2 linked regions of the Caenorhabditis elegans genome follow. The protein of the gene in region 2 purifies or fractionates together with the protein of the main gene of each other region. This does not show direct contact. Each region holds a gene or a part of one and is shown on either strand. Other genes may lie near its edges. The genes, in order: eif-2gamma and trmt-6.

Region 1 (5,450 bases), 6.8 Mb from region 2:
ACGACTGCGATCGACCCACTTCTTGGCGAAGGTGCTTCGTGGTGGAGGTGCTTCTTCGTTTTTTGGAATGACCGTATCAGAACGGAGCACCATAATTGGTTTCCCGCGTAAATTGTTCAGCTGGAACTAGGTTATGTTTTAGTGGGTGGAAAAAATCGCACAATTCAGAGTATTACCTGCACTTTCTTGCTCCTGTCATAGCCGTAAAGTGACGTTTGAACAGTGTTCGGACCTTCGATGAATTTCGGGGCCGGCATCGCTGAAATTTATCATTTAGAGTGTATGTTTTATCCGATCGAGGCGTTAAAATAAAAGTTTTATACATTTTATTCAGATTTTCGAACAAAAATTTGAGAAAATTGGAGAAAATAAAGAGAAATTCAGATGAAATTCGAAAATTTTCTAGCGGCCTACAACACCGTAAACATTCTACAAAAGTCTCATCGCGGCGAGACCATCTGCGCAAGGAATGAAACCTCCCTTTAAGGTGGGTTACTGTAGCCTGCACTTTTCGTTTTGTTTTTCAAAACCTGAATCTTTGCTGCAATTATAAAATGTATTTCCAGATTTTACTCAAATCCAATAATTTATCGAAAAAACACCAAGCACACTTTCAACAAAAAGAAAAATAATCAATGAAACTGGAAGTGGAATAGTAGGAAACAGGAGGAGGACAGAAAAAAGAACCAAAACAGGGATCCGACAAAATTTTTTGGACTAATAGAGAGACAAAAACGGAGAGAAACAATTGGAAAAGATTAATAATATGTCAAAACCGGTGTAGACAACAAATCGATGATAGCCGCTAGTTCTTGTACGGCTCAACGGTTTGACCTTTGCGAATGGTTCCCCAGCCAATCAGGCGCCAACTCTTCTCGAAACGACGTGACATGGCAATCTTCTCTCCAACCTGAATTTAAATACAAATTAAATTTATTATTTTATAAAAAGTGGGAATTACCTCTGTGCAAATAGGATCGTTTAATCTGATCTTCGCGGCGTCTCCCTTCACAGCAGTAACTCTTCCTCCCGTTGACAACGATCCAATGTTCACCAGCAAAGTCTCTTCCTTGACAAGCTTCTGCACCTTGGCTCCCTTCTTCTTTCCTTCAGTACGAACTCCGAGCAATCTTCTCAGAAGATAGAAGGAGATTTCAATTTCGATGAAGATATCTGGAAGAGTGCCAACGGCTCCGAGGATGTGACCGACGAGTCGATCTCCACGGCAGAGTGTCGGGTCGATCTTCGTTCCAACACCGATGAGACCGCCGGGAACGGCGTATTCCAGCTGGTTCTTTTCGGCAAACAGAGAGTCGATACGGGAGAAGATCGGACGGCATTGGAGTTGACCGGTCGCGGTTTTTGAGACGATTCCCGGGCGAACTTCGATTTCTTGTCCGACGCGCAGAATTCCCTTGGTCAATGTTCCTCCGGCGACTCCTCCCTTCAAGTTTTCAACTTCAGATCCTGGCTTGTTAACATCGAATGATCGGATAATGATGAGACGAGCCGGCGACTTGAAGTCACGGACTGGCACGGGGATTTTCTTGCAAAGATACTCGCAAACGAGCTGAAAAATCGCAATTAATCTAGTATACACGCTCTCCTCAAGCGTTCATAATTATTAGAGCGCGCTCGCGCGGCCCCTCACGAACTCCAGAATTCGCGGGGACAGCAGTTTTAGGCGGCTGTTTTTGGCTTCTATGGAAATTATTTTTAATTTTTTGTTTAATAATATTGTTGAGAAGCACCATCCGAATTGAAAATGTGTAAAATTATGAAATCTGACCGAAAACTGAAGGTTTTACAGAGAGGAGTCACCACGGCTTTCTTTAAAATGTATCAGTACAGTCAGTTTTTCGATTTCAGAGTCGTAGAATATGTTATTTTGTAGAGAAAAGTCTGTTTCACAAAAATCCATGTTTGAAATTTTAAAATTGTTCTTATGAAAAACTGAAAATTTGAAAAAATTAGATTCTAACGTAAAATTGTTGATTTTTTGAATATTTTTATATTAGAAATTAAAAAATTAAAATTTCAAACATGGATTTTCGTGAAACAGACTTACAAAATGACATATTTTACGACTCTGAATTCGAAAAACTGACGGTACTGATACATTTTAAAGAAAGCCGTGGTGACTCCTCTCTGTAAAAACTTCAGTTTTCGGTCAGATTTCATAATTTTACACATTTTCAATTCGGATGGTGCTTCTCAACAATATTATAAATCAAAAAAATTAAAAATAATTTCCATAGAAGCCGAATATAGCCAAAAACTGCTGTCCCCGCGAAACGAATTCCCGCGAATTCTGGAGTTCGTGTGGTGCCGCGCGAGCGCGCTCTAATAATTATGAACACTTGAGGAGAGCGTGGTATATTTAAATCCAGATTCAGATCCTTACATCAACATTATATTTAAGCTGCGCAGAAATCGGGATGACTGGAGCATTCTCGGCGACCGTTCCTTGCACAAATCCGGCGATTTGCTCGTAATTTTCGCGGGCTTGCGACTCCTTGATAATATCGACCTTGTTCTGAAGAATCATCAAATGATTCAGCTGCATAATCTCGACGGCGGCGAGATGTTCAGATGTTTGTGGCTGTGGGCATGGTTCGTTTCCGGCGACGAGCAAGAACGCGGCGTCCATGACAGCGGCTCCGTTCAACATGGTGGCCATAAGAATGTCGTGACCTGGGCAATCGACGAATGAGACGTGGCGAACACAGGTGAATTCTCCACCGCATCCGGCGCGCTCGCATGGGAACCGATCGGGTGTTGATGAACCGGCGGATCTGAATTAGAATTCAAAAATTATTTATTTAAATTAAATTTCAGGGAGATATTATAACCTGTAACATCCTGGCCTTGGGCACTCTTGGTTAGAACATCTGTAGATCTTTGCATTAGCGTATCCAAGTTTGATAGTAATATTTCTTTCCAACTCTCTTTTGAACTTGACAGTATGCACACCGGAGAACGCTTTCACCAGAGTGGATTTTCCATGGGCTACGTGGCCAATAGTTCCGATATTAATCGTGGCTTGTCGAGAGATAACCTGAAAAATAACTCTTTAACTCAAAAATTATTGATTTTCAGTACCTCCTCGGTGAGTGGGTTCAAATTATCGACTCCGACTTTGTCCAAATCTTGTTTCGCAAGCCAGCTCTGGCACTTGTCCTTTTCAGCTTCTAAATTAAGAAAGAATTATGAAATTTTCTTGAAACCGAAAAGCTAACACTTACCAGAAGCCATATTTTTTGTTTTTATGATCCCAGTTGAGTCGATTATTGATCTTTAAAAAATTATCATTATAATTAATCGAAATTACTCAAAATTAATTGAAAATCCATAAAGATTGCATAGAAAACAGGCTAAAATTGGATAAAATTAGAAATGGGTTAAAGGCGCATGGGAGTGGTTGGAAGGGTCTCGATGCGATTTCGTGTGTCGATTTACGAGCTCGAATTTTATGTTTTGCTTTTTAGCGCGAACCAGGCAAAAATCGTTGAATTAACGGACATCTGTATATTTTTCGTATGGAAATATTAGCGAAATTGCTTCTTAAAATTATTTATACGGCATTATAAACCATGTATTCAAGTAAAATGCAATAATTATTCATCATAAATCACCGAAAATCCCAAAATAACAAAAGAGTATCATAAATTAAGCAGAAATGGAGTCCACAAGCGTCTTCGCATTGACGAATTCTGCGGCTTCCTCCGGATAATTCCCAGAAGCAATCGATTCACGGAGGTCGGCCACAGCTTTTTGGAGACGTGATTGAGAATCGCGGACCATGTTGGCAGTTTCCTGAAAATATTTTAATTTCGTATACTCGTAAATCGGATTATTTCAAAAAACCTTAACAATATCCTTCGACTTCTTGGCAACATACTCCTCGTCCTCGTTGGTGGCGTCGGCGGCGAGTTGGGCAGCCTTCTGCTCCTCCTTCACAACTTGCTTCTCGTAATAGGCGACTTCTTTGACGAGACGTTGCACGGTTCCCGTCTTGATTCGGAGCGCTTTCAGCTGATCGGCTTGGGTCGACATGGCGGCGGGAGGTTCTGCAATGTGAATTTTTGAAACAGAGAACGAGATTGTGAGCTTGCTTTTATGGACTAAAAATCGATAGAAAAAGGCGCAATACCACCGAAAATGTTGTGCTCAATGAGCCGAAAAAGGACGGGAAAGCGAGCAGATGGTCAGACACGCTCGGCGATTTCGAAATAAATACAAATTGACCGCTGTCTGTTGGGCGACACAGGTTCCCGCCAAAAAATCGACTGTTCAAATGATTTCGCAATACATACATAGAGAACGAACAAGAAGGATCAATGAAAAATTCTATGAATTTGAAATTAGGTACTGATGGAACGGCAGATGCACCCATGGGGGTACTGCATAAATAATAAAATTTTAAAACAAGACATAAATTTAAAAATTCAGATTTAAAAAAAACAAACAAAAAATAGCAAAATCTAGAAATTTAAAAAAATTCATCAAATATTAAAAATCTATTGCAATCTGGTCAGTTTGCAAATATACATTGGTCCAAAGTTAGAGGGTAGAAACGGCACGACGAGGGCTCCCAGTGGAGTGTCATGGAAACGATAGAGGCCTGATGACGTCATATGGGATACGAGTTGATGTAGGGATTCCTCGACGGTCACGATTCCAAAGTCATTGCGTACGACGGCTACAGCGTTCTCGACGACTGCCTGAAGAAATTTGAATTAGCATTTTTGAGCTGTTATTTCGACAAAAAACCCCGGTCTCGACACGCCAGAAGTACTGTAGCCGCGAAAGTACGCAATCACCGGATCCTACGAAAAAATGCATGCAGAATTTCGGGATTTTTTTTGAGGGAAAATGTTGGGATCGGGCGAGAGTTGAAGCCAGAATCAAATTTTTAAACGGAAATCGTCAAAATTTGAAATTTTGATTTGATTTTCTCAACTGTTTAGTGAAAATTCGAGATTTATAGTGTTAAAAGAAACGATTTCTTCACATTTTAAACTTTTGTGAAACTATCAGAGCAAAATTTGAGCATTTCGGGGTACTGTAGCGGTGAAAATACGCAAACACGGCAGGGAGCGCAAAAAAAAATGCAGAATGCGATTTTTTTTAAACTAAAATTGGAAAATAGCCGAATATTGTTTTGAAAAATTGAGTTTTTCACGTTTTTTGTAAAATTTTCATCGATTTTTCATCAATTTTCGAATTTTTTACAAATCGAGAAAAAACTATATTTGTCATCATTTTTCAAGGAGTTTTTCAAAAATCGATGCAACAAAAAATTTGGAACTACAGTACTCCTTAAAGGCGCATATATTTTCCTATTTAACAAAAAAATTTGTCGTGCCAAGACCAGGTTCGAGCGAAAACCTCGTTTTGGCTTGGTGAGAGTGTGCACGTCGAGTAGACAACCGAGCCACCAACTTTTA
Region 2 (4,777 bases):
ATCGATCACATCTCCGGCTTTGAAATCAACCGGAGCCACTCCAGGCACATAAAATCCTTGCTCGAGAGGTATAAGAGTGGCGAGCACCAAAAGGGTGCTAGTTCGTAAATAAGCCATTAGCTGTAAATAATTTTGAGCTTATTTGAAAGAAAAATGTAATAGGAAGGGAATTAAAAGCAATATATTGACAATTTCTTAACCTAAATATTTGTAAAGCCCGTCAATTAATTAATTAAATTGAAATATACATAGCTAGAACTCAAAATACCGTTTAAAAGAGAAAATATTTCAAATATTTATAATATTCAAAAGCCTAGCAGAAACGTGGATAATCGCGCAAAAGCTTATCGGCTCGGCGAATCTCTTGTTGACACGCATGCGGCGCGGTATTGTGGGTGGGGCTAAATGGCGTGGATTGGTAATTTGCAAGTGTGACGCGCACTTTTTTGCCTATATTTGTTCAGTCAGAATTATGGCATTTTCCAGGAAGATATAATGGTTTGATAAAGAAAATAAATATTGAAGTATTGAACTGTACATATTATTAAATTTTAAGTGTAAAAGATTGAGGAAATATGCAATTTACTCGGAAAATTCAACAATAAAAAATAACAAATAAAATGCGAATACGGTGATCTGAAAAAAGAAAAACAACAATAACAAAAATAATAATAAATTATTGGTCAATAACTTTGATTCCAGTGAGAATATGTCCGCCAGCGACGTGCTGAGCCATTAACGGATGAGTTCTATCAGGTAGAACTTGCATTACACGACACATTTGATCAGTAAGAACTAAATTGATTGTTTGACGCTTTGACAACCAATCGTATGCTGAGATGAGGATCTGGAACAGAAAATAGTTTTTAAAAGGTTTTTTGAGTAACTGGAGCCAGAATTCAGTTAAAATGTAATCTGGTCACTTTAATGTGAAAAAAAGATAATATTTTATATAATTTTTACATTTTGATGAGGAGAGTAGATGACAATCGTCCCAGATGGTGCCAGTTTGGGATAAAGAAGCTCCAAAACACTGATAGGATCGACAGTACGACTTCCAATAATTAAAGAATGAATTTGTTCATCATTAATCAAATCGATTCCTCTCTTCTCCCGATCCAAACGATCATTTCGGCGAGCAAGAGCCTCTAGATCTTGATCCTATAAAATTTAAAAATTTATTTCCATCTAAAACGTTGTCCTAATTTTTCAATTACCTCGATTTTCTCAGGTTCCTTATCTCCATTGACTTCCTCCAAATTATCATCATCCCCATTTACAGCCTTTCGGTTATTGTCATATGGCAGATGTTTGCCTGCTAGAACACACTTAATTCGAACCGGTAAAAATGTGGAAAGTGTGTTATCATCGTAATTCATAGAATGAACACAGGGAATTGATTGAGCTACCGCACCCTGTAAAACCAATATATTTTGAAAGGATGTTTTTTTTCGAAGAATAAACCCTATGAATATGAATACAAGCACCAGTTCCACCGAGTCTTTCAATAACTGCAGAGGTAATAAGTCCAAGTGTTTGTTCAAATACGACGACATTCTTTCCATGGTGAAGCCCTGCCATTTGAAGAATTAATGCTAATTGATCAGCACGAAGCATCGCAAGACGATCAGGATCTTTCAAATAATAAGCTTTAGCCAGAAGACGGATGGTTGGACGGAGGATTAATACTCTGAAATTATTATTCGCAGAAGTAGAAATCGGCAAAACCCCACTTTTATCAATAAAAAACTCAAAAGCTTAAAATTCAAAAATAATTTAAATTTAAAAACAATAGCTGACGTACCGATCACTATGTTTTTTGGCTTTTCGTTTGATATATTTGCTCTGTGAAAAGACAGTTCTTGTCTGAAATGATGCTGAACCTTCAACAAGTTTGGCAACCATTTCCTGTCCACTGACTCCTTGCTTCTTCATTTCCAATACGGCATCCATTTCCAATTTTTGACGTTTTTGTTCGGGCTCAAGTTTAAGTGCTGAAGGCGCGATAACAACACGTGGATCTAAAGATGGTTCCGATGGTTCTGTTACTTCAGGATCTATGGATGAGGTGGCAACGGATGCTTCTTGAAGTTGAAGTTCTTCAATTAGACGATCAACTGACATTGGAAGGCATTGATTATTGGATACTTCGAATAGACCATGAGGCTTTCCAAATGCACTGAAAATATCATTCTTTCATTACAGTATCTTTTACCATCATTGTTCGGGTACCACATACAGTGCCGGCCTAAAATCTATCCAAAACCTTTTTTTTTTAGTGAATTTACAAGTTTTCGAATTTTTATAGATCTTAAAGAAGGAGGAACGGTTCTGGGTATTTTGGACGTATATAAGAAAAACCACAAAATAGTTTGCAGAGCATTCAGTTTACTTTTCCAATAGAAAAAACCACTTTAACCCCATTAATATTATCAGTTGAATCAATTGAACGTAGGGTCTGCTGCCCTTTTCTTTGAATTAATCAAACTGTTTGTCAAAGTGTTTGCACAACGATTTTTAATCGTCGAAAAAAAAGAAAAATTTATAATCGGTTAGTGACAAGGGGCGAGAATTGATATGTGACTTTTGAAAAACGGGGCACGTGTTTTATGTTTAGAATGCACTTTGACGTCACTGTGGTTTTTTTGTGATCAAAGTTTCATTTGAAAGAGCTCGAAAATTGGAAGTTATTCGGAAAATTATAATTAATTTTAGAACTGGAAACCTTACCTATCGGCTACAAACTTCAGCTTCTCAATGAGAATCTTTTGCTTTGGAGTAAACCGGACTATGCGACTTTGTTCGCCATCAATCTGAAAATTATTTTTTTTGCTGTAATTTTGTTCTTCAATTCAATTTTAATGTGAAAATTGAACTTTTTCCAATTCAAAAAATACCTTTTGCACGATAAGATACTCTCCACTTTTTATGAGTTTTTGTGATGTTTCCGCAGGTTCGGTTTCCATGTTTGATCTGAAAAATTTGAATATTCAATTGAAAATCGACGAGACGGCTACGAAAGGCAACAGAGAACGAACGATAAAGTAGTCAAAGAATATCGGGAAAAATGTGATAAAAGAGGGAAAATGAGAGATTGCAAATATTCGAATATTTGTTAGGAGAGGTATTGAATTGGTTTAAAGTTGAACTTTTACATCTTTTTTGAAATAGTTTTTTGTACTTTTAAACTGGGCAGTTTTTGAGTTCAAAACATTTGGAATAGCTTTCTCGGACTATTCAGATGCAATTGGATTCCGGACTGTAAGCTAAGTGTATTTTTTGAGAAAAAAAACTGAATAAGACAAAAAGCATTCAACAAAAATGTTTTTTTTGCACCCAGAAATATGTTTTTCGAAACAAAAACATCAATTGAGCCCAGGGTGAGGGTTTTTAAAAATTTTTTACTAAAAACCGAAATATTTTAGTTTTTCTTTCGATATTTCTAAAAAATGCAGTTTTTCAAAAAATAGCTTAAAATATTGGAAATTTTTATTCAGTTTGGACAAATTTTTTTAATGCTTTTTTTCGTCAATTTAAACAAAATTTAATATAAAATTTATTTTTATGGTTACTCTTCTGTATTTTTTTTTATTTTCAGATTTTTTGAATTAAAATAATTCTGAAATCACCGATTATTATGGGAAATTTGGTATTTCTTTTAGAAAAATTTTTGATGTGTATTGTGTCTTCTGTATCCAATTACAATGTCACAGTTTAGAGGAACAAGTACACAGAGAAGAAACTGTAGAGCGATCAACTGACGAGATGAAATTCAACGTGTGTTCATAATTGATAGTTGATATTTAGTGAACGATCATTCTTTGACGAACAATTTCTCTGTATCTTTTTGATTTGTTTCTCTTTAAATAAGATTGTAAATATAACATTTTTGAATTGGTTTCCATTTTATTTTTGAAAAAAAATCAATTTCCTTGTCAACAATATTTTGTTGATAATTGCCGCATTTCAAAAGAAAAAACTAGTTTTTCGTCTTCTACTCAACTTTTCTATTCTCCACTCTATCATACAAAGAATTATTAACAATACCCTAAACTCATCTTATTTGCTTTTTAAAGACTTTCAACCCACCGATCCGCGATTTGGGCGGTCTCTCGAAAAATTGTGATAAGACGATAAATCATCAAATAGAGATAGAAAGTGGTAGTGACGATAATAAAAGTGTGTGAAGGCGATCTTTAAAGATTGCTTGTTTGCCAACTGCCAACCATTATTGTTATAAAAGATACCCGAATGTTCTGATCAAGGTTACGTTATCAGTGAGGTTTTCCACGGAACTTTGGAGTCTTGTGATCTTTTTCAACTTTTTCTCTCAATCCGGTTATCACACATGTTCAAAACGTATTATTTTTGTTTACCGAAAATAGAAAAGTTCCTGAAATTTCGACTTAAATTTAGAAAACCTGGTAATAATGAACTTATATTATCGAAAAAATACGATCGCACAAATTTCTCATAATTTTGATCTACCTGTTGAACTTGACTCCGCTCCCAATCTTGATGCCGTTGTTATTTTGTTGTGGCTGTTTTATCAAAGGAAGGGGAGGAGCCTAGTCAACAAGGTAGATCAAAAATAAATTATGAGAAAATTGTTCGATCGTATTTTTTCGATAATATGACAGAAAGGGATTACTGTAGTATATCGTCAGATTTTACTTCCCAATTCAAGTATTGAACAGTACATAGAGCTTACAATACGAACTGAAAATAATCACATCTGATGTATGATTTTACTGGAACACCGCAAACCGATATTATT

The links.
Region 1: the proteins of trmt-6 (region 2) and eif-2gamma fractionate together in Caenorhabditis elegans (co-fractionation; one large-scale study listed by BioGRID). This does not show direct contact.

The regions. Positions count from the first base shown.
Region 1 is NC_003279.8:2,311,116-2,316,565, reverse strand, and holds eif-2gamma (protein-synthesizing GTPase), read right to left. Parts: upstream 3,296-5,450; 5' UTR 3,256-3,295; coding exon 3,246-3,255; intron 3,192-3,245; coding exon 3,103-3,191; intron 3,059-3,102; coding exon 2,853-3,058; intron 2,796-2,852; coding exon 2,405-2,795; intron 1,571-2,404; coding exon 962-1,570; intron 911-961; coding exon 806-910; 3' UTR 574-805; downstream 1-573. Other genes in the region: ekl-7 (PEHE domain-containing protein), read right to left, coding at 1-126, 177-257; tbca-1 (Tubulin-specific chaperone A), read right to left, coding at 3,670-3,816, 3,868-4,056; 5-cytosine rRNA methyltransferase nsun-4, read right to left, coding at 4,521-4,724, 5,392-5,450.
Region 2 is NC_003279.8:9,141,404-9,146,180, forward strand, and holds trmt-6 (tRNA (adenine(58)-N(1))-methyltransferase non-catalytic subunit TRM6), read right to left. Parts: upstream 2,974-4,777; 5' UTR 2,967-2,973; coding exon 2,898-2,966; intron 2,814-2,897; coding exon 2,731-2,813; intron 2,180-2,730; coding exon 1,805-2,179; intron 1,691-1,804; coding exon 1,465-1,690; intron 1,416-1,464; coding exon 1,218-1,415; intron 1,162-1,217; coding exon 964-1,161; intron 848-963; coding exon 677-847; 3' UTR 568-676; downstream 1-567. Other genes in the region: ZK858.6 (Transmembrane 9 superfamily member), read right to left, coding at 1-120, 4,090-4,194, 4,227-4,229.